7 linked regions of the Coturnix japonica genome follow. The protein of the gene in region 4 interacts with the protein of the main gene of each other region in a pairwise test. Links are inferred from orthologs where the notes say so. Each region holds a gene or a part of one and is shown on either strand. Other genes may lie near its edges. The genes, in order: MGAT5B, GRAP2, TOLLIP, RBPMS, FOXS1, HEYL and C23H1orf94.

Region 1 (3,500 bases), on a different chromosome or scaffold from region 4:
ACATCACCAACCTGGGTTTGCTCCCCACAGCTCTTCATCGGCTTTGGGTTCCCCTACGAGGGTCCGGCCCCACTGGAAGCCATCGCCAACGGCTGTGTGTTCCTGCAGGCGCGCTTCAACCCTCCCCACAGCTCCCTCAACCATGAGTTCTTCCGTGGGAAGCCCACCTCCAGAGAGGCAAGTGCTCAGTGGTGGGAAAAAGCACCTGACTGAGATCTTCGGAGAGATCCAAATCCCAAAATGTGAATGTATCATCCCAACATGCATCTGTTGGATGGAAGGGGCTGTGGGTTGTAGAGGAGAGTGATGCAGGGGGATGCTCATAGACCCCACCCTCAGAATCCATTGCCCGTTTCCTTCCCACTGTGCTGATCCATTCACATCCCTCCCAGAATAAGGGCTGGTGTCCTGCTGGCAGCCTGATCCCCCTCAGCCCATTGTATTTTTGTAAAATGAGGAGGATATGGGGAGTATGACATCCCTCCCAGGCTTGCCCATTGCTGGGAATTCAATCTAAGTGAAGCAGGAACTCTTTAAAAGTTAAAGGGTTGAGAAAATTGCTTCTTTTATTATTAATGAAGTGGATAATGCGGCACAGTGCTCACTCCCTCAGCTCGGCTGGGCTGTGTCACACTGTCCCCAATGGCTCCCAGTGTTCTGGAGTGCCCTGGGGTGTTCATGTGGAGGATGGGAGGAGGTGGTCACTGCTACAAATGAGAATGGAAAGCAAGCAAGAAGCACACATGGCTCTTCTTCTAGCAGGCTCTCCTGCTATGCAATGCCTTCCAAGACAGCTCAGCATCCTCTCTCCTCCTGCCCCTACCCAGGCCCCCAGGGCTCTAGCTGCCTTTTAGCAGAGTGAGGCTGGAAAAGCAGCATTTGGTGCTACCAACAACTGCAAACCAACAGCTCCTGTGCTGTGCTATAGGTGTCCTCCCAGCACCCGTACGCCGAGGACTTCATCGGGAAGCCACACGTGTGGACTGTCGACTACAATAACTCCGAGGAGTTTGAAGCTGCTATCAAAACAATTCTGAGGACCCAGGTGAGAAGGGCTCCCCAAAATGAGCCTGTGTGCCAAGGTGAGAACAGCTCTCATCTGCTCTTTGTTGCCCTTGGGATGAGCTGTACCCTCACTGTGACAGCGTTTTGGGGTGGGTGCATCACCATGCAGCTGTGAGGTGAGGTCAGTGTGGATGAGGTCATGTCGGCGCCTCGCCACGATCTCTGCTGTTAAAAAAGGAAAGGTAAGAAATAAAAAGGGGGTTGTGAGGAAGTTGTGCTGCAGGCTGATCAGCTCCATCTCCAGATTTCTCCCCGTTCCCACGTCAGCTGCTCATAGAAATGCAGTTGTGGTGCAGTCACAACACATCCTTCCTCCCTTCCTTAATTAACATCTCCTACGTCGCTGAGAGGAAGGAGGGGAGGAGAGTGTGGATGAGGCAGCAGCACAGAGAATGTGGCACCAGCCTGGGGGTGCTCGGCTGTGGGGTTTTCTGGGCATTTTGCTTTGTGGTGTGGCACCTATGCTGGAAATATGGCTTCATGGTCTATTGAATGATGTCTCCATGGAGCAGGGAAGTCCCACAGACCCCTTGTTTTGGACGATCCCCATTGCCTTGTTGCTGCTGGCCATGCCCCTTTAGGGGCTGTCAGGGTGTGCAAGCCTAAATTCACCCCAAATGAATACAACCCAGAGCAGTGTGCTGTAACAGCTCTGCAGGGAGAAGTTCCCATACACCGAGAGGCACAATAAGATAAGCCCACCAATCCCCTCTGCTCTTTGCTCTTTTAAATGTGATCTGTATATTTACCATCTGCAAGCAGAGCAGGGAACGAGCAGAGCAAGAGTCAGCAACGGCCTGTTTGTCTGTTTTTAACATATCTGTGTTAGAGATGCTGTCAATGCAATTAAGACTAACAGTTGACCAACCTCCCAGCTTTAAAAGCCCCACTATTAGCTTTGGGAATCCCTCGGTATCTTGTCTTTAAACTACTGCTGGTTACAGCAGGAAATGAGAACAGCTGATGGGTGGTGAGAACGGGCAGCTCAGTGCTCAGCCAGGTGGGAGGAACTGCTTTCTGCCTCCTTCTTTCCTATAGCAAAACAGGGCGTTGTGTTTTCAGACTGTTTGGCAAATCTCTCCTTCAGAATAATCACCATCCATTTATTTCTTTCGCTCCAAACGTTGCATTTCACCATTACTGAAATGAAATAAGGTGTTTTTGTTTCCCATCTGTGTGTCTTTGTTTGGAAATGACCTGCTAGGGAAACTTGTATCTGAAATGATGCATTTCCCTTTGCCTCACCAAACCAAACAGATTGTCTGACCTGAAACAAAGCATTTTTCTCCTTGCTGGGAAATATTGGGAATTAAAAACTGACCTGAAACTGGTTTTACTCTTTTCCTTTCTATTCTTCCTCTTTGATTTCCCCTTCCTTTTGCCCTTTTCATTTTCCTCTCCCCTCCCCTTTTCCCTTCCTCCCCCCCTTTTTCTTTCTTTTTCCTTTTTCTCTTTTCCTTTTTCCCATTTCCTCTCCCCTCCCCCCTTTTCCTCTCCCTTTGTCCCCTTTTCCTTTCCCCCCTTCATTAAGAAGTCACTAACCACACACCTTTGGCTTTGCACCTTCAAGGCAAATCTCAGCTGAGCACTTTCAGGAGGGTGAGATGCCACCCCCTGCTGTTGTACCAGCAATGAATTGCAGCTCGCTGCCATAGCCTGGGCTGAGAGGGGCAGAGAGGTTTCGAGGCACAAGGATTTCTCAGCCTTCAGCTCTTTCCATTTGTCCCAGCACAAGCCATTTAACAGACCCAATATTCTGGTGTAGCGAAGGGAGAAGGCATCATTATATTAAAGTCAAACATACAGGAATATAATGGAAAATTATACATTTCAGCCTATGCTTGAAAGAGTGGCGTATTAAACATCGCAGCGAAAATAGCTGGTTTGAGTGCTCCCAGCCTGCTGCCGGGGGGCAGCTGACAATTGCATTATTTTGCTGCTCATTACTTAGGGATTATGTTTTTCTTCCTTTTCCTTTGCAACAAGGGAAGCAGTTCTGGGATACCCAATGGGGTCTGTAAAAGAAACAAACCCAAAGCACCTTTGTGCTTTGCATTGCATCCCCACCGATGCATGCAAGGGAGGGTTGCAAAATCCCTTTTCAAGAACAAGGGCAGAGCATCACCCCGTGCAAAGCCCCCCCAGCACTGCTGTTGTGAGTGCAGGGGTGTGAGGCTGAGTGCTGCAACCCCAAACCTGCAAGACCTGGCTCTGGTTAACTGAGCAGCATCAATGCCTGTCATGGTGTCAGCACCAATTACACGGCACACCTGTAATGAGACAGAGCAGCTGCGATTTCCAGCCTTGCTGAGATCTCAGGTGGGATATTTATGGTGGAGAGATGCTTAGAGGGATCTTGTTGGCAGGCTGAGCCTTTGGAGCTTGGCTCTGACAGGTACTTCAAAGGAGACAGCTATTTTGGAGGTGCAGAAAAT
Region 2 (4,049 bases), on a different chromosome or scaffold from region 4:
GAGGGAGGCTTTTAAAGACACTTCAGTAAGAGACTTCATCAAAAAGAGTTTAGAAATGAATGTATGTTACCTCAAATGATCACCTGCACCCACATGCTCATCATTTCCTTCACAGAACTGCATCAGATTTGTGCAGTGGGACTGCCTTCTGCAAAAGCTACAAGGTGCAACCTCTATGTCATTTCTCTCTTCACGGTAATCTTTTTCTTCATTATGGTTTCTGCATATTAATTTCAGGCATACAGAAGTTAGACCTGCTGCTCTTTGCATCCCCTCAAAGCACTTTTAAAATGGTTGGCATCATGTTTGCTGCTTTTTGCCCTAATATGGAGACTGAGTTAAGTCCTACATTGTATGTCACAGCTCAATTGTTCAACCTTTACTATTTCACGCTCCGTTTAATTTTCAGTCAAGATTTCTAAAATACCGAATCCCTGGATTTACTCCCATTCTTATACTGATTTGTCCTAAAACCACTTCTAGTTTCCCTGGCTTTTCTCCACAAAGAAAACCCCAATGTGGGAAACAGCTTACATCCCTTTGGAAGACCCACGGATGCTGAGGATTCACTCAGCTTTTATGCCTCATCCTTATCTTCTTTGAGCACCCTTTTTACATCTCAATCATCTGTCAGCCTTACAGACGCTCTGGCAGGCTTCCTGCTTCTGTTGTCTTTGAAAATAATTTTATTACGTGTTTTTATGTCTTCAGCTCCTTGTTCCTCAAGATATGCTTTTCAACGAACCTATGATGGTTTCTCATTTAACTTGCAGATCTGTGCTCTTTTCTGTTTTCTATAGTTGGGTAGAACTCACATTTTTTGAGGGATCGTACCCTCTGTTATTTGGCTGTTAAACAAGGATGGGCTGAGGCAGTGGCAGCAAACTGACAGCACCATTAAAAGCACGTGTCATACTGAGTATCTTCAACTTTAGAGATTGAAAATGGTCTGTGTCCCACTCTGTCCTGTGATGGACACTGTTTCAGCATCCGTCCTCCGTCCTCCATGCCAATTCCTGACCACCCTCATCCACACACGTGGACCCATTACCACCGTGGCACTGTCACTGCAGGGAGGAGCCTGCATGGGCTGAGCTCTCCTTTCCTTCCTTTCCCCTAGACAGCAACACACCTCCTGCTTTCTAGAAAAGTGCCACAGGAGAGGAGAGCTACTGAAAAAAGGTATGGGGCAAGTGTTTCTCTGAGAGATGGGGGACCAAGCTAAGTGGGAAAAGCTCTAGGGAGGGAGGTGGGATCTTGAAGGGAGAAGTAAAGCACTGCAGGGCAGGGGAAGAGCATGGGATCCCTATGTCATCTTGTCGGGTGGCTTCCACACCAGAGCAGTGCTTGTGAGAGACAAATCCCTGCATCTTGGCCACATCCAACCAGCTGGGAGCTGTGGGAGGAGGTGGGGTAGACTGGGCTGGGGAAAGCAGCCTCTGGTCCTCAGCACCAGCAGAGATTCATGATGTTGTGCTCTCACAACACTGTTCAGAGTTGTGGCACTCTTCAGCGCTGCCTGTGCATGGCGTCTCAGGGTGCTGCCCTGATCTGCTCTGTGTGCTTGGAGCAGTACGAGGCCCCAGACTTCCCGGGGTGACCAAGAGCCATCCTCACCTGGCTACTTCTTACTGACTGCTGTTGGTCATAGAGCTCTATAAATGTTTTCCTTCTCTGGATCCTATTCTTTGTAGGTTTATTTTGTCAGAGCATTGTGCAAGGGCTCAGCCCAGAGCCCTGCATTCCTTTGGATGGCAGCACAGCTAAGACTGAAACATACAGCGCTGAGCACTTTAGTAGCTTGTTCTCCCTTATAAATTTTACTCTCTTATCACTGACAGTCAGCGGAGCTGTGCCATTAACTCAGTAACAAGAGGCTTGTGTTTTTGGAACGAAATATTCCCATGCCACTTGTATGTGGCTTAGCTGGTGACAACAAAGCCTTTATCTATCACAGCTCTTCTAGATAACGGGTCCCTCCGCCATTGTTTCTGCTGAAATGTCATCAGGAGTTTCTGTACAGATGTTCAGGGTTGAATCCTGTCCCTGGTTGCTCATCAGTCCGATAGGTTGCTCTTGCGGAGCGGAACAAAGACGCAGCAGCTCGCACTGTGTCTGTCAGCACGAAGCCTTGCTGGATGGAGCTGCCTGCTGGAGGTATTTGTGCTGCAGGCAGGGAGATCAACATTCTGTTCATAGGGCTGCTTTAAGCAGCCACTTTGTAGGAAACCGTGCTTTCTTCTGTGATGTTAATATGTGAGATTGAGTAGGGGTGAACCTGAGCCATCCCAGAGTGATAAACTTCATAGGAGGTGACCTTCCCTGGCATTGTTATTACTGAATTTTAATCCAATTTGGTGTAGGGGAAACTCTTTGGGATGCTGTTGTCAGATTACGCTGCTTGCTGACATGATTTAGGCCTCAGCTCTTTTCATCAACAGAGAGGCTGATGTTCTTGCTCAGGGAATGGCACTCTGCCAAACTGAAATACCTACCTCATGCTCTCAGAGCTGGGCTGCTTTTCTCTTCACTCTTGATGAACCTCCTGCAGCATCAGTCCCACGGAACAGCAGTAGCCCTGTGCCCATTGGATCTGCCTCGTTGCAGTGGGGAACTGCAGAGAAAATTCACCTCCATGCAGAGAACCGGCACAAAATGGAAGTACTCATCAGCCTATACTCAGAACTGACAAATCCTCCTTTAAAAGTTGCAGAGGCTTCATGCTAAACCCTGCACAAAGGTGATTTTTTTTCTCTCTCAGAACATTATGCACAGTCTAAAATTGTCCTTGGTTACTTGAAAGCTTAAAGGAGTTGCACCAGGCAGTTAAAAGCAGAATCTGACTGCCTGCAAACTGCAGTGCTGTCCTTTGGGATAAAAGGTGCTTGAGAAATGGAAGTTCTGATGATTACCTAAAAAACTCTCATCTTGGTGTGTCATGGGGTAGTGCTCAAAGTCACACACATTCAGAGAGCAAAAGAAAGGGCCCCTGGAGGAGATTTTTCATGAGGGCCCAGCACTGACCTGCACATCCTCGAGTTACAGATGGAGGGAGGACTGGGATCAGAAAATAGAGGTGGTTTGAAGTTCAGGTGATGAAAAGTGGTAGGCTGCCATTCAAAGACAGGATTATGGGTTAGTGCTTCTTTAGTAGTTTGTGGGGGAAGAGCTTAAGGCCACAGCATTGCTGATTTATCAACACAGCCAACACTGTGCATGGTATTTGAGTCGCTTCTAAATCCAGCCGCTGGCAATGAAAAGCACATTTAATCCATGTGTTAGATTGTTTGAAGAGGTATCTGTCTCCTGGTCTCTCCCCATGGTTGTGATTGCTGAAATTGAAAATGAGGTGAGAGAGGAGATTTTAACCGTTTCACAAACACTTCTCTCGAGAGGGTCACGGCTCCAGTGGCATCTTTAGCACCTGGGAGACTGAGAAATGAAAGGCTCCCCATCCCTTCCTGCTCCCTGCAGAGAGAAGCCCTGCTGCCTATCCTGTGACTGAGGAGCAAAAATCAAAGACAGGATTTGTATTTATTGTTTTGAACTGGTTTGGGGCTTGGAGGTTTTTTGTTTGTTCTCTTTGATTTCTGTTGTTTGTTTGTTTGTTTGTTGTGCTTTGTTTTGTGTTTTGTTGTTGGGTGTTTTTTCCTCGAGATGAGATTAATGCTCTGCATTAGGAGTTCCAGGATTCATTTGCACTGTCGGCTCTGATCCCCACCACCATATGAAGAAATACTGAAATAAATCCCTTACTAAAGTAATTATCCTTGGTCTTTTTTCTTTGGTTCTCTACCGTGAAAGAGTATTATTGTTTATCTAGTTGTCCCAATGGCTAATTCCTCCCCTATTTAAAACCCTTACACTCTATCAGCAAGAATGGCTGTGGGAAGTTACAAACAGGAGTGCAAAGAATGTCAGTGCAAGAACAGAGGACAGTCTTCAGATCAGGTCTGAATTGCATCCATAGAGTTGCACCTGGAATAAAAAAGGGGCAATTAGACAGCAAGCTTAAGCTATACTTGCAGCTCTGATACACATAGAGCAAA
Region 3 (3,500 bases), on a different chromosome or scaffold from region 4:
TGACTGAACAGTAAAATAAGTGTGTAATGCCTTGTGTGCAGCTGGGTAATATTTACACTCTGAAGGCTTTGTTGGTGCTTCCTTGCTGCTTTTAGCGATGGACTGCTGTTGTACTTGCTTCACTTACTGGAATGCCATTGCTAATGCCAGCATGTTTGCCATTGCCATTTCATTGAATTAGAAAACAGTGCTCTGTTCTTCTGATGTGTAACACCTCTTAACTGAAAGCAACGAAGGAGCATACCATTATACTTAGAGGATGTTTCAGTTTTCACCTGTTAGTGAAACAAGCTGCTTAACATGTAAAGCAGCTTTTTACTGAACAAAGAAAAAGCAGAGGTTTATTACAGCTACTCTGATAACCGTGTTATTCATACGTATGTCATACATACCATATATGTTTATGTTAACTTACATAGTGTTTAAGTTTATGCTTAAGTCTTGCTTACTATTTTGTGAATCAGAAATAATAGATGCTTTTAGTCTGGGGCGGGGACAACAACGAAGTCAAGAATAATGTACTATTGAAATTGGCTATGTTGACTTCCATGAAAAAGAAGCATGTATTCTAAAGTGCTTATGAAATATCACTGATACTAACTTCCATTGGTGTAGTCTGAATGTGGGGAGAACAATACTGGCAAGAAATACCTCATCTCTAAAATCAGATATTTAGACTGGAAGTACTTAATGTTGCATGTGCAGATATCTGGCCACATATTTACATTGTTTTGATGTAAGCAGTAGGGAAATTGTCACCTTTATTATTTTCTTTTCAAAGACAAACTTAATGGCAAGCTATAGGATGCTGTGACACTTCAGAAGTGTACTTGATATTTCATTTGTCTTAATGTTTAAAACTAGTCTTTTTTACATACAGATCTTGAATAGCCTAAGCTGATAGCTGGATAGTCTTATGGTGTTGGTGACTGACTTTATTAAGTTAGGAAACTTCACTTAAAAGGCAATCTGAAATGCTGCTGGATGTAGTTGTATTTGTTTGTATTTTGTGCAGGGAGCTGTATTTGCAGTGTTGTTTTAGGACCACTTTGTGGTTTACTTCTGGGGTACGACCATAATCTAATGTGCCAGATGGTCAAAGAATCTGATAGTGCTAAGCACAATCTGAGGGAACGTGATTCAAATGGCTTAAGAAGCTGTAGAGCCCAAGTTCAGGCTGTTGTGGAGGGGACTGCAGGTGTCCTTGTGAGGTAGTATGGCTGGGAAGAAATAGTTTGAGTGTGTGGGTAACAAAGTTATGTTGAGAAGAGGCTTTTATTTAGGTGCCAGTGTGAACCTTTTTAAATAGATGCGGCCTCGGTTCCTTTTTTGCTTCTAATAAAGCTGAAGAAGATTACAAGGAGAGTTTTAAAATCAGAGAAGACTGATTAGCATGTCCAAGACGCTTACAATCAGTAGTGGACTTCTGCATGAAACTGAATAGGACTGAAGTCCAGATTGAAGGAAGAAACAGCAAAGAATATGTGAAGTAAAACAACAGCTGTGGTGCACAATCAAACTGTATTCAATTAGAGGGCACTGTCAACTAAAGTTTGATGTAAGTTAAGGTGGGATTTGTTGATCCAACTATTAGTATGAATTTTAATACATCATTTTGAAGGCTGGAATGATTGTACAAGTTAGTAAGCATAAACAAACAGTGGTTCTGTAGGAGCAGCTCATACTTCAGGAACTGTAGGTGTCTTGCACCTACTTGTTACTGGCCTCCACCTGGACATGGAGCCATTGACCACCACCTCTGTCTGCGGCCTTTCAACCAATTTCATATCCATTGAGTGGTCCACCCATCAAATCCACATCCCTCCAATTTGGAGATGAGGATGTGGTGGGGCACCATGTCAAAGGCCTTGCTCAAGTCCAGGTAAATGACATCGGTCGCATTACCTTTGTCAACCAACACCGTCACTCCATCATAGATGGCCACAAGTTTGGTTAAGCATGACCTTCCCTTGGTGAAACTGTGCTGGCTGTCTTGGGTCACACACTTATTCCTCATGTGATCAAGCATGTAGTCAAGGAGGATCTGTTCCGTGATCTTCCTGGGCACAGAGGTGAGACTCACCGGCCTGTAGTTCCCTGGGTCCTCCCTGCTCCCCTTCTTGTATATGGGAGTGACGTGACCCTTCCTCCAGTCATCTGGGACCTCACCTGACAGCCACGACTTCTCAAATATGATGGAGAGCAGCTCAGCAACCACCTCAGCCAGCTCCTTCAGGACCCTGGGATGCACACCATCCGGCCCCATAGACTTGTACTCATTCAGTCTCAAGAGGCACTCTCGGACTTGCTCAGCCTTCACAGTGGGGAGGGATTTACCTCCCTGGTCTCCTCATAGAGGGTTGGGGATGCAGGGCTCAGGGATGTGAGGAATACTAGAATCCTGGCCACCAGTGAAGACCGAGGCAAAGAACTCATTCAGTACCTCAGCTTTCTCTTCATCTGTTGAAGCCAGTCCTCTTAAATTTACCAAAGAAGGTACACCCATTTTGGCCTGTCTCTTCTGGCCAATGTACCTGTAGAAAGTCTTACTGTTTTTCTCATCCCTCGCCAAGTTCAGTTCTGCCTGCACCTTGGCTTTCCTGATCCTACGTCTGCAAGTTCGGATGGCATCTCTGATGTTGTCACTTGGAGGTACTTGAAGAAGTCTCATGTACTCTTGTGGGCTTAAGGGGAATTGTACTTTTGCTGCTCTGGGGCTTTGCAGGTGGAACTGGAAGGAGCTTGAAACAAGGAGGACCATTTGCTCGACACTCATTTGTGTATGTGGTTGAGTCCTTTCATGGATTTCCTTTTAATGTGATGAAGATAACATTTATTTTTTAATGTCTACTTATTGGATATATATATTGCTGGTTTAAAAAGCAGCTTATCGCAATATAAATGCAATAGGGCTTAAAATACACTTAGTATCTGATGACTTAATCATGTGTAAGCCTGGTTGATATAGGTTGTATCTTAATTCTGAGCTGTACCTATTGTTATATTGCTTACGGCTTCTGTAATGTAGCTTGGGCAGAGGACCAGTTCTAGGAAAGTGCTTTTGACTGCAATGGTCTTTGCAATCTCTGAAGCAGGTGGATTGGTGGTAAGGGATGGACCACTTCCTTCTTCGCAGTCATTTATTTTTCCCTTGTGTGTGTTTTTTTTATTTCTCCTGCATGCAGGAATGCCTGCAGTCTGTAATCCTGACATGGTACCTGTGGCAATACCACCTCCTGCAGTCAATCCTCAGCACCTGTGTAATGAAGAGGACCTGAAATCTATCCAGGACATGTTTCCCAACATGGACAGAGAAGTAATCCGCTCAGTGCTAGAAGCTCAGAGGGGGAACAAGAACGCAGCTATCAACTCCTTGCTTCAGATGACTGAAGAATCCTAGAATCACTTCCTGCATTGTGCTTTTCCTCAATGCCACTTATTTTTACTTGCCAAGCCAGGGATTTAGCTAGAGGAAGAATTTCCTAACAGTTTGCTGTTAG
Region 4 (4,229 bases):
GCCGCCTGTGTCCCACTGGCTTCCCCACACCAGCCGTTGTCACGCCTTCCGGCCCTGTGTTCCCAGCTGTGTCACACCTCTTGTTCCACGTTCTGTCCCGCATCCCGTGTGCCATGTGCTCACACCGTGCTCCCAGCCTTACGGCCCGCGTCCCCATCGCTGTCCCCAGCCCCGCGTGCTACGTACCCAACCTCGCGTCCCACGTCCCAACTCCAACGTCCTCGTCCCCAGCCGTACGTGCCACGCACCGAACCTCACGTCCCAGACCGCAGCCCTTTGTCCTCCATCCCCACCCCGCGTCCCGTCGCCCCAGCTCCGCGTCCCACCCCCGCTCCCGTCCCCGGCCCCGTCCCACCCCGTGTCCCCACGTCCCTCCCCCAGCGCCGTGTGGCCGCCCGCCCGGCCCCGCCCCGCCCGGCCCCGCTCCCTCCCGCCCGCCGCAGGGCCGCGCCGGAGGCAGCCGCGGGCGGGTGGCGGAGCGGCGGCGGCACCATGAGCAGCGGCGCCGCCGAGCGGGAGGGCCCCGCCGAGCCGGGCCTGCCCGAAGAGGAGGTAGCGGGCCGGGCGGGGGAGGGGGAGCCGCCGAGGGCGGGCCGGGTCCCGGGGCGGGAGCGGTGCGGCCCCCACGCGTGTCCGCGGGGTCCCGTCAGCCTGGGCGTGGGGCTCGGGGCGCGGCGGGAAGCTATGGAAGTTGGTGGGGGGGGAGGCGGAGCGGCCCGGAGCCGGGTGCGCCTCGGCACAAGGGCTGTGGGACGCGGGGCGCTTGGACTCACGCGGGGTGCGGGCACGGCGCCTCGTCCCCCGGAGCGGAGGCGGCGGCACAAGGTCCCGTCGGGCGGCACGGCGGCCGCGCACAGAGCCTGGCCGGGGACGGGAGCCGGGACGGCGGCCCCGCTCGGCTCTCGGCGGCACCGCTCCCGGCACAGCGCGAGGTCGGTGCCGCCGCTGCCCGGCCGCCGCGCCCTCACCCCGAGTGCGCGGGCACGAGGACGGGTCGCGGTCACGCCGCGGGCGGGGGTCGGGGCGGGGGCAGCCGAGCGGCTCACCGCTGGTGGAACATTAAAGCGAGCCCGGGGAAGGTGATCGGATGCCTGGGGAATGAGTCACCGCGCTCCTCCCGACGGTCCCTTCCTGCCCGAGCTGACCGGCGGAGCTCGGCGCTGGGGCGGCGGAGCGTGACCGCGTCCTTGGGGCAGCCGAGGGGCCACGGCGCTGACCCGGTGCCCGTCGCACCGCCCGCGGCCGCCGCTGCTGTGCCGAGCCGCCTCCGGGCCGCTCTCGGGCGGAGCGAGGCCCGCCAGGTCTCCCCGAATGTCCCCGGGGCGAGGAGAAAACCTGCCGGGCGGGGACAGCGCGAAGGGGACGGAGCAGGCACGAGGCTGCGCCCCGGTCTGTCCGTGGGCAGCAGCAGAAACAGAGGGGTGCGGTGGGGTGGGCACGGGGTGGCTCCGGAGCACATTCACCACCCTCGCCTGGTGACAGTCCCGGGCTGTGACGAGGGATGGTGAGGGGTGAAGGCGAGCCGGGGAGAAAGGCTGAGCGCGGCAGGGTGGTGGGGCTGCCATGGGGGGTGTCAGCCCACTGGCGTGGAAGGATCCCTCCGGGAGGGGTCCCCAGCCCCCACAGAGGGGATTCTGCCACTGCCCACCCCGGCCTGCACTGACAGCATCTGCAGGGCCCGGGGAAGGCTCCAGAGCCACAGCCTCTGTCAGGGAGCTGCCCCGCTCCGTGGCAGAGCAGGGGCAGCCTTTCCCCACGGCTCCTTGCTGGGGAGACCGCATCGCAGCTCCTTCCCCAGCCTCTGCTTGTCTCTGGTTTTGGGCAGGGGGGAAAAGCCTAAATGGGATTTCCCCCACCACCCCCCTTCAAGCTCCTGCTGTAATCTGCGCTTCTCTCCCTGCTCACTGAGCACCGCAGCACTGGCCCGACTTGGCCGACCTGCGTTTGAACTTTCAAAGAAAACAAGTCATTACCGAGGAGAAGCCGCATCTCTGTGAGGCCTAATTTCGGAGGGTTTTTTTTCAGGGCCTTTATCTCTCTTATCTGCTGCGCAGCCATGGGGCTAAATTACCCGGAAAGTCAGGCTCGGGCGGGTTTAGCTTTCAGGAACACAGCTCACAGCGGGCACTTCCTTGAGGCCGTGAGCACAGAGCTGTGTGCAGGAGCGTGGCCTGGAGGCCCTGGGGAGCCTCCTGCAGGCCCACAACCAGCTGACGCTCTGCCCCTGCAGGTGAGGACCCTGTTTGTCAGCGGCCTGCCCCTGGACATCAAGCCCCGCGAGCTCTACCTGCTCTTCAGGCCCTTCAAGGTACTGCACCCGCTATGGGGCTCTGAGGGCCTCTGAGGCCAAATGAAACCAATGGTGCTTCTCTTCTCTCCCGCAGGGCTATGAGGGGTCACTTATCAAGCTCACCTCCAAGCAGGTATGGGCTGCACCGTGCCCCCACCTGCCTGGGGGCTGCCCTCACCAACTGCTGGGGATGTGGTGGGGTCTTGGCCCTGACCGCCCTTCGCCTCCTCTCTCCGCAGCCCGTGGGGTTCGTGAGCTTCGACAGCCGCTCAGAAGCTGAGGCCGCCAAGAATGCACTGAACGTGAGTGCTGGGACCCCCTAGGGAACACCAAAAGAGATGGATCCCAGTATCTATTACCCCGTGGAGACCTCCTGGGGAAGCCCGGTTCCTCCCCATCCTTGCATTGAGGCAAAACGCCGCTAATCCCTTGCTGGGAGCGTGGCTGCACGGGATACCGACTACCAAATATGGTGCTGAGCTCGAGGATGTCAGAGGAATGTGAGCCACGGGGCCATGCTCGCTGCCAAGCACATGAGGTCACGGCCACCCCAGCAGCCCGTGGGGATATTGGGACAAAATCCGAGGCTGTTTTAGCCCAAATGGCCTTCTTGAATGGGGGGCAGCACCCTACCACAAGATTCAGCCTAACTGACCTCTGCTGCCCTGTTCCTTTCCACAGGGCATCCGCTTCGACCCTGAGATCCCCCAGACCTTGCGGTTAGAGTTTGCTAAAGCCAACACCAAGATGGCCAAGAGCAAGCTGATGGGCACTCCCAACCCCAGCACGCCCCTCCCCAACACTGTACCTCAGTTCATCGCCAGGGAGCCCTGTGAGTGCTTGCATCCTGACCCTGGTCCGCCCAGTATATGGCCCTGGCAATGCCCCTTTCTTACTGAAGCAGTTGGGGCAGTGATACCTTAGGAGCTGGGTGCAGGGAAGCTTTTGGAGAGGCACGGCAACTGTGGTTGGGTTTGGAAACCAGCTGCTTGTGCTTGGGATGACGCAAGGGCAGGTGACGGTGGCCTGGGCAGAAGTGCAAAGCTTATACCTGCTGTCCACTTTCCCCTTGCTTTTAGGATTAATTTTCCTCCTTTTCCTGCAGATGAGCTCACAGTGCCTGCACTTTACCCCGGCAGCCCTGAAGTGTGGGGGCCGTACCCTCTGTACCCAGCGGAGCTGACGCCTGCTCTACCTCCTCCTGCGTTCACATACCCTGCTTCGCTGCATGCCCAGGTAATGGCACTGGCTCACAGCACTGCAGCCTTTCTGACAGGCAGAGCAAGAGGGAGGGAAAGGAGGGGAGCTCTGGGGCCAGCTGCCCAGAGGAAGAGCAATGGTAAATATTATTGCAGCCTCATACTTCCCCTGTCAAGGCAGCGCTGACAGGCAGCACCTGTGCTCCTCCTGGAGGAATCAGCACTGCAGCCACCGCAGCCCCAGGGTATGGCTGCACTACCCTTTGCTGCAGTTTTCCTTCCTGCTCACCCCCTGCCCCCATGTCTTGCAGATGCGCTGGCTCCCTCCCTCCGAGGCTGGGTCTCAGGGCTGGAAGTCCCGTCAGTTCTGCTGAATGCTGTGTAAGTGCCCCCCGGTGTCCTCCGTGTAGCACACCTGCGGTGCCAGCCAAAACTTGGGTAGGAAGGGGGACGTGCCAGCCCCATCCCTGAGCCCTGCCATGCCACCCACAGGTCTCGGGTGTGTGATGGCGGCCGACGGTCAGTCTTGTGGGTATGAACAGAGCCCCCCGGCGGCTGCTGGGCACGCACGCTCTCTGCAGAACCACAGTGTGCTGGTAAGGAGCGCAGTGCTCGGGCACAGGCTGTCCCCCCATGCTTAATCATCCACAGCGGGGGTGGGAGTTCCAACTGCCCTGTCACCCCACCCCCTCTCTGCCATACAGCTTCCTGCCCTATAGCAACACTGGTCACACTCCTCT
Region 5 (3,655 bases), on a different chromosome or scaffold from region 4:
CAGCTGTAGCCATGCCTGCAGGCAGCCCTGGCACAGCCCAGCTCTGTAGGGTGCTGTGAGGACCTGGCAAGGAGATGGTCCCATACAGGGAGAGCCCCATCTCCCCATACACCCCATCCCATGGAGCTCTCCCCCACTGGCTCTCTCTGTGGGTGCTGAGGCCAGCACCACTCATACCATACACAGCGCATGGGGCAAACCAGGCATGTGTGAGCAGTGCAGGGTTTGCTCCAGGGTGCAGCACATCCCCCAGCCCCTTATAGAGAGGGTTCCCTCCTGTCAATCCAGGTAGAAGCTGCATCAGGAAGGGGCTCCATCCCCATCACATCTGGGGATGCCAGACCACCCAGCCCATGGGCACCAGAAGGGGGGTCTGCATGGAGGAGAGCCACAGTGGGCGGCCACAGAGACATGTCCCAGCAGCAATCTGGGTGGGAACGGAGTGGCCTCGATGCCCCCTGCCTGCTCCCCACCCCCAGCGGGTCGCAGAGACACAGAGGCAGCATGAACAAACGTGCTTTATTCTACAGTACCTGCATGGTACCAGGGCGGGGGGGAGATGTCAGTCCATCACTCAAAGAAGAACATTCCGGGCGTCCGGTAGAGGCAGTGGGGCAGCCCCAGGGGGTAACCACCACCTCCCTGCAGCGGGATCGTCCCCCCTGTGCTCCACGGCTCCTTCTGCTCTCCCACCCCAAAGGGGGGCTGGCGAGGGGCCGGGGGGGTGGCGGTGGCAGCAGTGGGGGCTGCAGCCAGGAGATGCTCCAGCGCTGCACCGCACGGCCGCTCGTTCACACAGAAGCTCAGCGCCTGCACCCGGCACTGGTAGCTGCCCCCCAGTGCCTCGGGCCCCCCACGGCCAAAGGAGCCAAACACGGGCAGGGGGGGCTGCTTGTAGCCATCACCGTCGAGGAAGCAAGACGGGGGGGGCTTGCCCGTGCCCAGCAGGGTGCTGGGGAAAACGGGGGGCACCTGCCCAAAGGGTTGGCCCAGCCCCATGGTGGGGGTCGCCGGCTCTTTGCCCTCCACATCACCCGGGGGGGATGCAGTGGGGTCCGGGGAGCGCTGCGCGGGGTGGCCGGGCTCTGTGGGCAGTGGGTACTGACCTGGCCGGGGCAGCGGCAGCGCAGCCGGGGGTCCCCCGAAGGCAGTCTGCTTGGGATGGGGGGGGGCGGGCGGGCGGCTCTCCAACGGGACCCCGAGTGGCTCCTTGGTGAAGAATGGCACTTTGGGCCGCGGGTGAGCACAGAGCTGCCCAGCACAGCCCGGCACCCCAATACCCTCTGCCCTCTGTTCTGCTGTCGGTGATGCAAAGCCGCTCTCCGCTTTCCCCTCCTCTGGCAGCGCTGCCCGTGAGCGGGTCCTGGGGGTCTTCCTGCGTCCCTCATCCCCCTCTCCATCCTGCAGGGCCCTTTTCCTGGTGAAGCGGCGGCGGCGCCGGAGGAAGCTGCCGTTCTCAAACATGTTGTAGCAGTCGGGATCCAGCGTCCAGTAGCTGCCCTTGCCCGGCTTCTTGTCGTCGCGGGGCACTTTGACGAAGCACTCGTTGAGCGACAGGTTGTGGCGGATGGAGTTCTGCCAGCCCTGCTTGTTGTCGCGGTAGAAGGTGAAGCGGCCCATGATGTAGCGGTAGATGCCGCTGAGGGTGATGCGCTTCTCGGGAGTGCTCTGGATGGCCATGGTGATGAGGGCGATGTAGCTGTAGGGCGGCTTGGTGGCCTCGGCAGGCGGCGAGGGGCCGGGATAGGGGCTGTCCGGGGCCGTGCGGCCGCGCAGAGCTGCGGAGCCGACCGGGAGCTCCGGCTGCATCCTGCCGTCCTCACTCTGCTTGCCCGGCTCCGGCCGAGCCCATTAAAACGCCCCAACGGTGTGGGGGCGGTGGGCCCCTCCTCTACGGTGCCGTAGGGCCGCCCAGGGCGGAGCGGGGCCCCATCGTCCAGTGCTGGTCCCTGCGGCCGGACGCGCAGTCGGGGCCGGCCCCGGGGCTGGGAGCCAGCGGGCTCGGGTTGGCACCGCTGTGGGGTTGTGATGGGTACGGGAGGTGAACGGGGCACAGGGCTCATCCCGCCCGCTCGCAGCACCCAGCCCCGGGTGGTGCTGATGTGGAGTGCAGCAATGGTGTGGGGTGAGAGGATGCAGTGTGGGGATGGGGCTTCACGGGTAACCCCATCCCTGGAGTGGTTTTGTATCCCCGCACCGTGCCGTGTCCCTGCTCTGCGCCATGTCCCCACCCTGACCCAGGTCCCCGTGCACACACTGAGCCCAGTTACCTGGGCACGTCAGCGCTGCTCTGCAGCACGACCCCAGCCCCGCCGGGAGCCCCCTCACCCACCACTGGGGGAAACCGAGCCATGGGCAGCAAGTGCTTTTGGGACGTGGTGCCCGGTTGTGAGGGCACCTCGCTGCTGCACACAGCCCTGCATAAGCGCTGGGAAGCAGAGGGCAGGATGGGGCTGAGGGCAGCAGGAGCTGCGTGGCTCCAAGCAGAGCGCTCAGCTCCTGATGTCCCTGCAGTTCTTGGCTCTGCCTCACTCAGCTCCCCCGCAGCCTGCACGGCAGCACAGCCCCAGCCCCGATGCCGCAGCCGGCAGTACCGAAACACAACCTTTATTTCTACAGCTCACAGACAGCAAATCCCCACAGCGCGAGGCACCAGGACAGAGCTGGCTGTCCCCTGCTGGGCACAGCTGCACCCAGCAGCCTCCGCTGGGCTCCTGGGGAATAAATACAGCGCTCCGTGCAGTGCCCCACTCCGGCCAGCATCCATCCGCATCCATCCCTGCTGAACGTGGCTTTATGGGTTTGCCACTGGGCGGCCGTGTGTCCCCAGGCTTCGTGTCCCCTCGGCTGCCCGGCTCAGGGCTGGCAGAGCTGCTGCAGGACGTGTGCGATGCGCCCGGGGGCAGTGGGTGCACAGGGCTGGGGGCAGCCCCGCAGCAGAGCAGGACCCAGGCGCTGGGCGTGGTGGAAGAGCTCTCGTGCAAACACCGGCTCCACCTGCAGGGCACGGAGCTGCTGGGAGGATGGGGTCCGTGCCTGGCACTGAGGGTCCCCATCGCCCCATTGATGGGCACAAGGATCAGCAGCCCTGTGTGTACTCACGTGGGCCATGATGAGCTTCTGGAGGTGGTGGCCGGTGCTGGTGGGGTACTCCTCACCGAAGCACAGGTGGATTTGGTACCGTGGTGCTGGCTGCCCGTGGCTCAGGTACCTGCGCAGCTCTGCAACACCGCACAGGGATGGGACACCCTGTATCCCCATAGCTGTCCCCCAGCAGATGGGTCCCGTGATGGGGATGGGACCCTGGGGCTGACAGGCACTTACCCTCCAGGAACTGCTGTGTGTCCAGCAGCTTGTAGGTCTTCTCCCGCTCCAGCTTGTTGGGCCAGTCCCGGTGTGGGGCCAGCGGCCCATTCCAATACACCCTGCCCTGGCACTGCCGCTTCATGAAGACCCCTTCGGGGGCCACCCACAGCAGCACCCCGCGCTCCAGGTGGGGCAGCAGCCTCTCCAGGACCTCGGTGACAGCGACTGTCCACCCGCTGCTTCCCAGTGCACGTGGTGAGGGGAACTCGATCAGCTCCATGCGGGAGGGGCCGTAGGGACCCTCAGTGCGCGTGGCGATGCGGCAGCCCTCGGCCGTGCGGGTGGTGAG
Region 6 (3,025 bases), on a different chromosome or scaffold from region 4:
GAGCGAGAACGAGTTATGGGAAAGGAAGTTGAATTTTCACCGTTCCCCGGGAAATTCTCGCAGCCTCTTTCACGGCCGGGATCGCTGAGGATCCTCCCCGCTGAACAGGGGCTGCTCTCAGCTCTTCCCACAGCCCGGAGCCGAGAGGTGACTCTGGTTCTGCTCACAGAGGGTCAGCAGACACAGGGCAGCCCCGCAGTCTGGCTGGACTGGTCTCAGCGCGTCCCAAGGCATTTCTGTGGATGCTGGGAGCTAAATGAAACGAGCTGTGCTCAAGCCATGGATTATTGCCAACCTCAGGGTGAGAGCCATGAGATCCCTGCTGATCTCAGCTCATGCAGTGGTTTGCAAAGTAAGAAGTCACGGGAGCAGCCACCACAAGCAGCGTTCCTGCTGGGGATGTTCCCTTACACTACACCTCAACAAAGCTCATGTGCTGCAACGCCAGCAGTCATCCCAGCATCCAGACTGGCAGAACAGCTGCACACCAACACTGCATCTCACACCAACAGGGGCTGGAAAGACTTTATTTACCACCTTTGCTGGATGTCACAGCTGTGACTCTAACAGAGGGAGGCTGGGCTGTTTGCTGCCGCTCTGGCACACTGAGCAGCACAGGACAGCCGGGGCCACGGCCTCCTCTGGCTTTACAGCGAAGGAAAGTGTTCCTGGCTGCTTCTGGCACTGGGGACCGGGGGTGAGGAGGAGCAGCAGAGGCATTTCTGTACACTAAGTGCAGCGGCATTCACCAGAACAACCAGGAAGACTCTCTCTCCAAGCAGCAGGGCTGCACACATCACGTGCTCTGCAGGAACGCAGCCCAGCATCTGTGGACACACAGCAGTGCAGCAGCCATGGGTTTTGGTCCAGAACCAGGGGTGAGAAACACGAGACCATGACACGGTGCTGGAGAGAGAAAACATGCGGGAGGAGAAAGGCCAAGAGAAAACGGGGAGGCACTTGGAATGCTGGTCTGAAACGCTGTGCTCTCAATGGGGGAAAGAGGTGAGACGGCTCCTGCAGGGTGATGGGCAGAGTGAAGGGCTGCTCTTCTCACGTCGGTGTCAGAGTCACCCCCTCCACGCAGGGTCCTTTGAAATCCGGTGTCTCACCTCCTCTCACCTGGCTGTGGGCTGAGGGCTGTTGGAGCCCAACAGTGCTCTGCTGTGAGTGGGATGAGTTGGGCTGCATCAAGGAAGAGCAGTGCTGGGAGCAGCAAGACCCATCCCAGGACCCTGGAATTGGGTGCTGCAGTTGGGGAACACAGCCCGAGTGAGTCCATCCATGAGCTCCAAGTCCCCAAGGAGATAAGGCAGCAAAGAACGGTACTGGGCTCTGCCAGAGGGCCGGGGTCTGCAGTGCCCCCCATCCCAGAGAACGCATGGAAGCAGATGGAGCTGACACTTGTGGGCACTGCAAAGGATGAGCGACGGTGAAGTGAGGAAGGCAGCGTGAGGAGCGGGGTGGGGGGACAGCAAAGAGGATCTTCTGGATGGGTCCTTGGCTTCCGCAAACAGGAGGGGCGCCCGGTTGTCTGGCTCCGCTCTGCAGCCCATGGGCAGGGGGCGCTGGGGGCTCAGAAGGCGCCGATCTCAGTGGCCCAGGAGCGGCACAGCCGGGCTGCCCCCACCCTGAGCGCGGGTCCCTGCGCAGCTCCCAGCGCTGCGGGCGCAGCGTAGGCTGCAGGCAGAGGGACACCAGCGGGAGAGAAGAGCAGAGCGGAGATGGGGCTGCCCTTGGCTGAGCCGCCCCTCGGTGCCCCCGATGGAGATGGCAGCCGAGGTGCGGCCGCCGCGGTGGAAGCCGAGGGGGCAGCTCGAGCCCTGCGGGTGGATGAAGCCATCCTGCCGGGCAGGGGGCCCCGCTGTGACGGCAGCACGTCGGCGGGGACGCGGCGCAGCGGGGCCGGCCTGGCGGTGAGACGTGGATAGGACGCAGTCACAAGGAGAGGAGCGGGAGCTGCTTCCCGGCGAGGCACCGGCAGCGGGCTGTGCAGGAAGGACCACGGCCACGTCTGCACCGGGAGCAGCGAGGCGGCCGCCGGGGACGGCTCCATTTCGGCCACGTAGTTGTTGAGGTGGGAGAGGAGCCGCAGGCGGATGGGGTCGGCGCTGCTCTGTCCCTCCAGGACGCCCAGGTACCGCACCACCTCGGTGAGGCACTCGCGAAAGCCGATGCTCCTGTAGTCCACGGCCAGAGCACGAGCGTCCAGGAACCCTGCGGGGACACGGGGATGGTCGGGCTGTGCACTGGGCAGGAGCTCACATGGCCCCCCCACCCTCTGTGCCATGCCATAGGTTTCACTCGAGGCGCTTTGCTGCCGTGTTTTGCCCTGCAGCAGACAGCCAAGAGGGTGTCCATGTGTGTGACAACAGCACTGCGTATCTCGGTGGGACAGGACTGCCAGGTCATGAACCCGTTAGCATGTGGGACGAGCGAGAAGGTTCATTAACTGCACTCAGGGAAGATGGCAGCTTTTCTTTTGGGCTCTGTGAGTTTTGGCTGCTGGGGATGTACAGAAAGCTGGGGGTGTGCTGGGATCCTCTCTATGGCAGCGCATCTCCATCACAGTGCCACGTTCCTCTGCCTGAGTCCCAGTGACTTCAGCCCTTGACACCTCCCTTACACTGACCTCCCAGTGAAGGAATGGCTGAACCGGGGACACTGGGCTGGGAAAGCTCAGAGCCACATGAAAACCAATAAGATAAAACACAATGGCTGATTTTTCAGCTCCTGCTCCCTCCTCGTAGCTTGGTGAGACAGTCAGCAACAAAGCAGAGAATGTCACAGAGCAGTGGAGCACTGGACCACTCTGCTTGCCGGGGTCTCTGGGGACAATGCAGCCCTTTGTTGCAGTGCAGTCAAACTGAATATCTAAACAAATGTTCCAGACCGAGTTACAGCTCTGAAGCAAAGCCTGGATGCCAGCACTGTCCTCAGAAAGCCAAAAGTGGGTGGTAAGCAAAGCCAGAGGCTTCTTTACTGGAGCTGTGATCCCCATCCTGTTAACTGGAACAGGACAGAG
Region 7 (3,332 bases), on a different chromosome or scaffold from region 4:
CAGGACAGAAGCAGCAGCTCCCAACACTTGCCAAGATTTGCTCCAGACCTGACTCCAATGCAGCCACAAAGGCACTGCAGAATCCAGGTATGGATCAGGACACAGTTTCTTCTGTGCTAATTTCCTGGTCTCAGATAGTTTTGTTCTTACAGAGCTCAAAACAAGAATCTTTTGCCCCATTCCAGTCATTCTTACAGCTCAGGAGATTAACTTCATTCCAGGTCCTGTGGGTTGGGGTTTAATGGCCTTACATGTGAATCTGATCTGCTCATTTCTAAGCATGGGTCTCCAGAAATACAGCCTGCAAAAGCATCTTAAACACTTTGCTCACAGGGAGTGCATCCCCTTAGCTGCAAGTGCTTCATGGTTTAATGAAGGGAATGCTTAATTATCTTCACCCTTGTTTTGTTTTACAGTAACTACTGCAGCACTGGATAAAAAAATAGTTATATACAATGCCAGCACTTCCAATCCACACTTTCCCGTTACTACAACCACCACAAACTTAAACCAGCCAATGTGGCCGAGTCTGAGCTTCCCTCCACTTCCTCTATATCCAAACCAGCCAAACTACCCACCCTTTCAGGTAAGATTGAATAAACCCACATTTTAGAACATTTCCAGGCCCATACTGACAAGCTCAGGGCAGCAACTACCTCTGCTATGAGAACTGCTTTCTGATTTGTAGGGTAGAGCCTAAAAGAAACCAGGCTGCTGTCCTACAATGACTGATCACACTGGTTCGCCATCAGTGTTAACATCCAATGTAATGCAGTCCTCTGAGATGTTAGTGATCAAAGGATGATGTTCTATTGACATATACTGAATGCTGACCTCTCTTGGCATTCATTAGTTTCCATGTTTATGTTGCATTTACAAATATTTATCCTGTATTACAAATATTTTGAGCTAATAATTCATTAAGGATATTTCACTCGGTGGCTCTGTTTGCACAACAGGATGCTGCTTGCTTTCTTTGCCTGGCGAAACAGGACCTCAAATCAAAGTGAAAAAGCCATCTAAGGTTATTAAGATGGCAAATGCTTAAGTCAAAAGGAATGAAAGAATGGGAATTGTACATACCTATGGTTTACAGCCCCAGAATTTCCCCTGAAGCCCACGGTTCAACAGAGACCTACTGAGCACAGGACAAGTGCAGTCCTTCCACCCCCAGCATTCAGCCAGGATTTGGGCTTCTCTGCCTGGTCTTAGGGAAATAAAGGGAAGACTTCCCCAAATCTAAGAAGTTAATTTACCTCAACCTGGTTTCTCTGAACACAGCTTTACACTAAAAAAATTCATGCAAAAGAAATAATAATTAACAGAGCAACTCAAACTGTTTTAAAAGTCATGCTTCACATTCGCTTAACAGGGTCCATACCAGCGAGCAAGGATCCCTTTCCAGCAACCTCTGCACCCTTCCTATGGATGCTATACAAGACAGGTGCGTTCAAACAGCTACGAATGTGCTTCAGTTTGCAGAGCACAGATGCTAAGCACAATGGATTAGTCAGTACTGTTTGTCCTATACCAAGACTGACATTGATGCCATGACTAAAACAGATCTGGGGACAAGATGCAGAGCTGGACTAAGTTAATTTAGTTCTTTGGAGCAGTATGTATTGCAGGATAGCTCATTAGATGGCCCTGAGCCTTTAACTGAAGGGATCTATTACATATGCTCAAGTTTTGTACCAAATAATTTGTCTGTCTTCTCCATTCGGACTGCACATCATTAGACTCACCCCATTCCCATGTGGTTTCTTTCTCTCTCCTCCCCAGGGGGCTCCATACAGCCCACAGATGTACCGGTCACCCTACACTCCTATGCTGAATTACATCCCCCTTGTCCAGCCTGGCTTCCCACACCAGAGGGCCCCAGCTCAGCTGCCCACCAGCATCCAGGATCTGCCAGCAGCACGTGATGGGATGCGGTTCACATTTCCTCCTCCTTATGGGTACGACAACGCAGATCTTCTTTCTAGCTTCATTACCATCCCTTACTGTACACCTTCATAGAACTCACAGCCTAATCACAAACTGGGTTCCCCAGCTCCATTCTCACCCAGTGCCAAGTCAGAACACAATATGGAGTATATACCCAATAGAAACTTCTCAAATAGGTTTGATACAGGAACAAAGTAATTTGTTTTAAGCTAACAAAGCTGCTGTAGGATAAGATCACACCTACAACTTTCCAGTCCTCATGGATAAAGCATGAACTTTTTGTTAGCAGAAAGGAGATGCTACAGCACGATAGAAACCAAAACATTTTGACACAGAACATCATGAAAAGATTCACCTCCATAAGCTTCTATAATAACCAATGATCCAACACTTAAAGGACTGACAGCAATAGCTCAAACTTCCCCCTAAACCCCCTTTCCAGAAGCCATATTGTGTCTTTTAAACAAGTTATTTGGGGATTAATGCAATCTCCTGAAGCCAGACTGAATGTTACTTCTTGTTTTAGGTTTGCTGCTGTGCCTGGAGGAGCCGTGAGGCCAACACACCATTACCCCCCCAATGCGAACTGCGTCAACTTTTAAGAGAACCAGTTCTCCTATTGCAATAGCACCAGATTTTTATGTATATATCAGGATTCCTAGGATCCCATAAGAACTTTGTGTTTCCCCAGAGAGAAGATTTCTATCTTGAATATAAGTCCACGTGACTTACATGTTAAGAAACAGCTGCGTGACAAATCAGAAGTAATTTATTGTTGTTGATTTTTTTTAGGATGACAGAAAAAGGGGCTTTTTCCCTTTTGGAAGACAAAGACGTAATAAAAATGTTTTATTTATGACAGATGCCTGAACACTTAAAATTCAATGTTGGTGCAATAAAGACTTTTTTTTTCCCCAAACAGAAGTTCTGGCCACAAATTCCAGCTACGGTAGTTGTAAGGTGTGCATTCAAAGTAAGGGGAGCACAGATGCAGTCATCCCATCCTATTACTTCAACCCTAATGCTGAACCACACGTTAACCTGACTGGTAGCGCTAAAGATGGCCAAGCTATAACGTCTGTATGAAGAATCCTCTTTAAATGTATTTCGTTGGTTATTTAATTCAACTTCAAGGCTCTGATTTTGTCCCTTGCAGATCCTTTAGGGAACTGCAAACTAGCCAGGATGTACAAAGAAGTTCCCTCCTGCAAGGAATGGGGCCATAGGATCGTTATAGGATCAGGGGTCTGACCACAGCTGGAGCCCTAGTCAATAACACCAGCACACTCAGGCAGGATCACTGTTTCTTTAGCAAAGAATCAAAGGCATTAATGAAGATACTTATCAATGTTTCCTTCCTTAGCCATTACTCAACACTGTGAGCC

Evidence for each region.
Region 1: the proteins of RBPMS (region 4) and MGAT5B interact in a two-hybrid assay, tested with the Homo sapiens proteins (2 studies listed by BioGRID and IntAct). The two-hybrid records come from large-scale screens. The link is inferred for Coturnix japonica from reciprocal best matches to the Homo sapiens genes RBPMS and MGAT5B.
Region 2: the proteins of RBPMS (region 4) and GRAP2 interact in a two-hybrid assay, tested with the Homo sapiens proteins (2 studies listed by BioGRID and IntAct). The two-hybrid records come from large-scale screens. The link is inferred for Coturnix japonica from reciprocal best matches to the Homo sapiens genes RBPMS and GRAP2.
Region 3: the proteins of RBPMS (region 4) and TOLLIP interact in binary tests that used the Homo sapiens proteins (3 or more experiments, as listed by UniProt). The two-hybrid records come from large-scale screens. The link is inferred for Coturnix japonica from reciprocal best matches to the Homo sapiens genes RBPMS and TOLLIP.
Region 5: the proteins of RBPMS (region 4) and FOXS1 interact in a two-hybrid assay, tested with the Homo sapiens proteins (2 studies listed by BioGRID and IntAct). The link is inferred for Coturnix japonica from reciprocal best matches to the Homo sapiens genes RBPMS and FOXS1.
Region 6: the proteins of RBPMS (region 4) and HEYL interact in binary tests that used the Homo sapiens proteins (3 or more experiments, as listed by UniProt). The two-hybrid records come from large-scale screens. The link is inferred for Coturnix japonica from reciprocal best matches to the Homo sapiens genes RBPMS and HEYL.
Region 7: the proteins of RBPMS (region 4) and C23H1orf94 interact in binary tests that used the Homo sapiens proteins (3 or more experiments, as listed by UniProt). The two-hybrid records come from large-scale screens. The link is inferred for Coturnix japonica from reciprocal best matches to the Homo sapiens genes RBPMS and C1orf94.

What each region holds. Positions count from the first base shown.
Region 1 is NC_029533.1:3,615,953-3,619,452, reverse strand, and holds part of MGAT5B (alpha-1,6-mannosylglycoprotein 6-beta-N-acetylglucosaminyltransferase B), read left to right. Parts: intron 1-30; coding exon 31-177; intron 178-928; coding exon 929-1,045; intron 1,046-3,500. UniProt on the Homo sapiens protein: Glycosyltransferase that acts on alpha-linked mannose of N-glycans and O-mannosyl glycans.
Region 2 is NC_029516.1:45,896,431-45,900,479, reverse strand, and holds the start of GRAP2 (GRB2-related adapter protein 2), read left to right. Parts: upstream 1-1,249; 5' UTR 1,250-4,049. UniProt on the Homo sapiens protein: Interacts with SLP-76 to regulate NF-AT activation. Binds to tyrosine-phosphorylated shc.
Region 3 is NC_029520.1:9,904,947-9,908,446, reverse strand, and holds part of TOLLIP (toll-interacting protein), read left to right. Parts: intron 1-3,185; coding exon 3,186-3,400; 3' UTR 3,401-3,500. UniProt on the Homo sapiens protein: Component of the signaling pathway of IL-1 and Toll-like receptors. Inhibits cell activation by microbial products. Recruits IRAK1 to the IL-1 receptor complex. Inhibits IRAK1 phosphorylation and kinase activity.
Region 4 is NC_029519.1:30,663,444-30,667,672, reverse strand, and holds the start of RBPMS (RNA-binding protein with multiple splicing), read left to right. Parts: upstream 1-1,429; 5' UTR 1,430-2,056; coding exon 2,057-2,308; intron 2,309-2,384; coding exon 2,385-2,423; intron 2,424-2,529; coding exon 2,530-2,592; intron 2,593-2,971; coding exon 2,972-3,122; intron 3,123-3,395; coding exon 3,396-3,526; intron 3,527-3,800; coding exon 3,801-3,863; 3' UTR 3,864-3,870; intron 3,871-3,981; exon of another isoform or gene 3,982-4,085; intron 4,086-4,229.
Region 5 is NC_029535.1:8,982,401-8,986,055, reverse strand, and holds FOXS1 (forkhead box protein S1), read right to left. Parts: upstream 2,474-3,655; 5' UTR 1,810-2,473; coding exon 571-1,809; 3' UTR 501-570; downstream 1-500. Other genes in the region: interferon regulatory factor 4-like, read right to left, coding at 2,857-2,997, 3,103-3,221, 3,325-3,655. UniProt on the Homo sapiens protein: Transcriptional repressor that suppresses transcription from the FASLG, FOXO3 and FOXO4 promoters. May have a role in the organization of the testicular vasculature.
Region 6 is NC_029538.1:4,818,278-4,821,302, forward strand, and holds the end of HEYL (hairy/enhancer-of-split related with YRPW motif-like protein), read right to left. Parts: intron 2,218-3,025; coding exon 1,577-2,217; 3' UTR 501-1,576; downstream 1-500. UniProt on the Homo sapiens protein: Downstream effector of Notch signaling which may be required for cardiovascular development. Transcriptional repressor which binds preferentially to the canonical E box sequence 5'-CACGTG-3'.
Region 7 is NC_029538.1:4,083,030-4,086,361, reverse strand, and holds the end of C23H1orf94 (uncharacterized protein C1orf94 homolog), read left to right. Parts: coding exon 1-87; intron 88-416; coding exon 417-586; intron 587-1,372; coding exon 1,373-1,444; intron 1,445-1,782; coding exon 1,783-1,958; intron 1,959-2,473; coding exon 2,474-2,549; 3' UTR 2,550-2,832; downstream 2,833-3,332.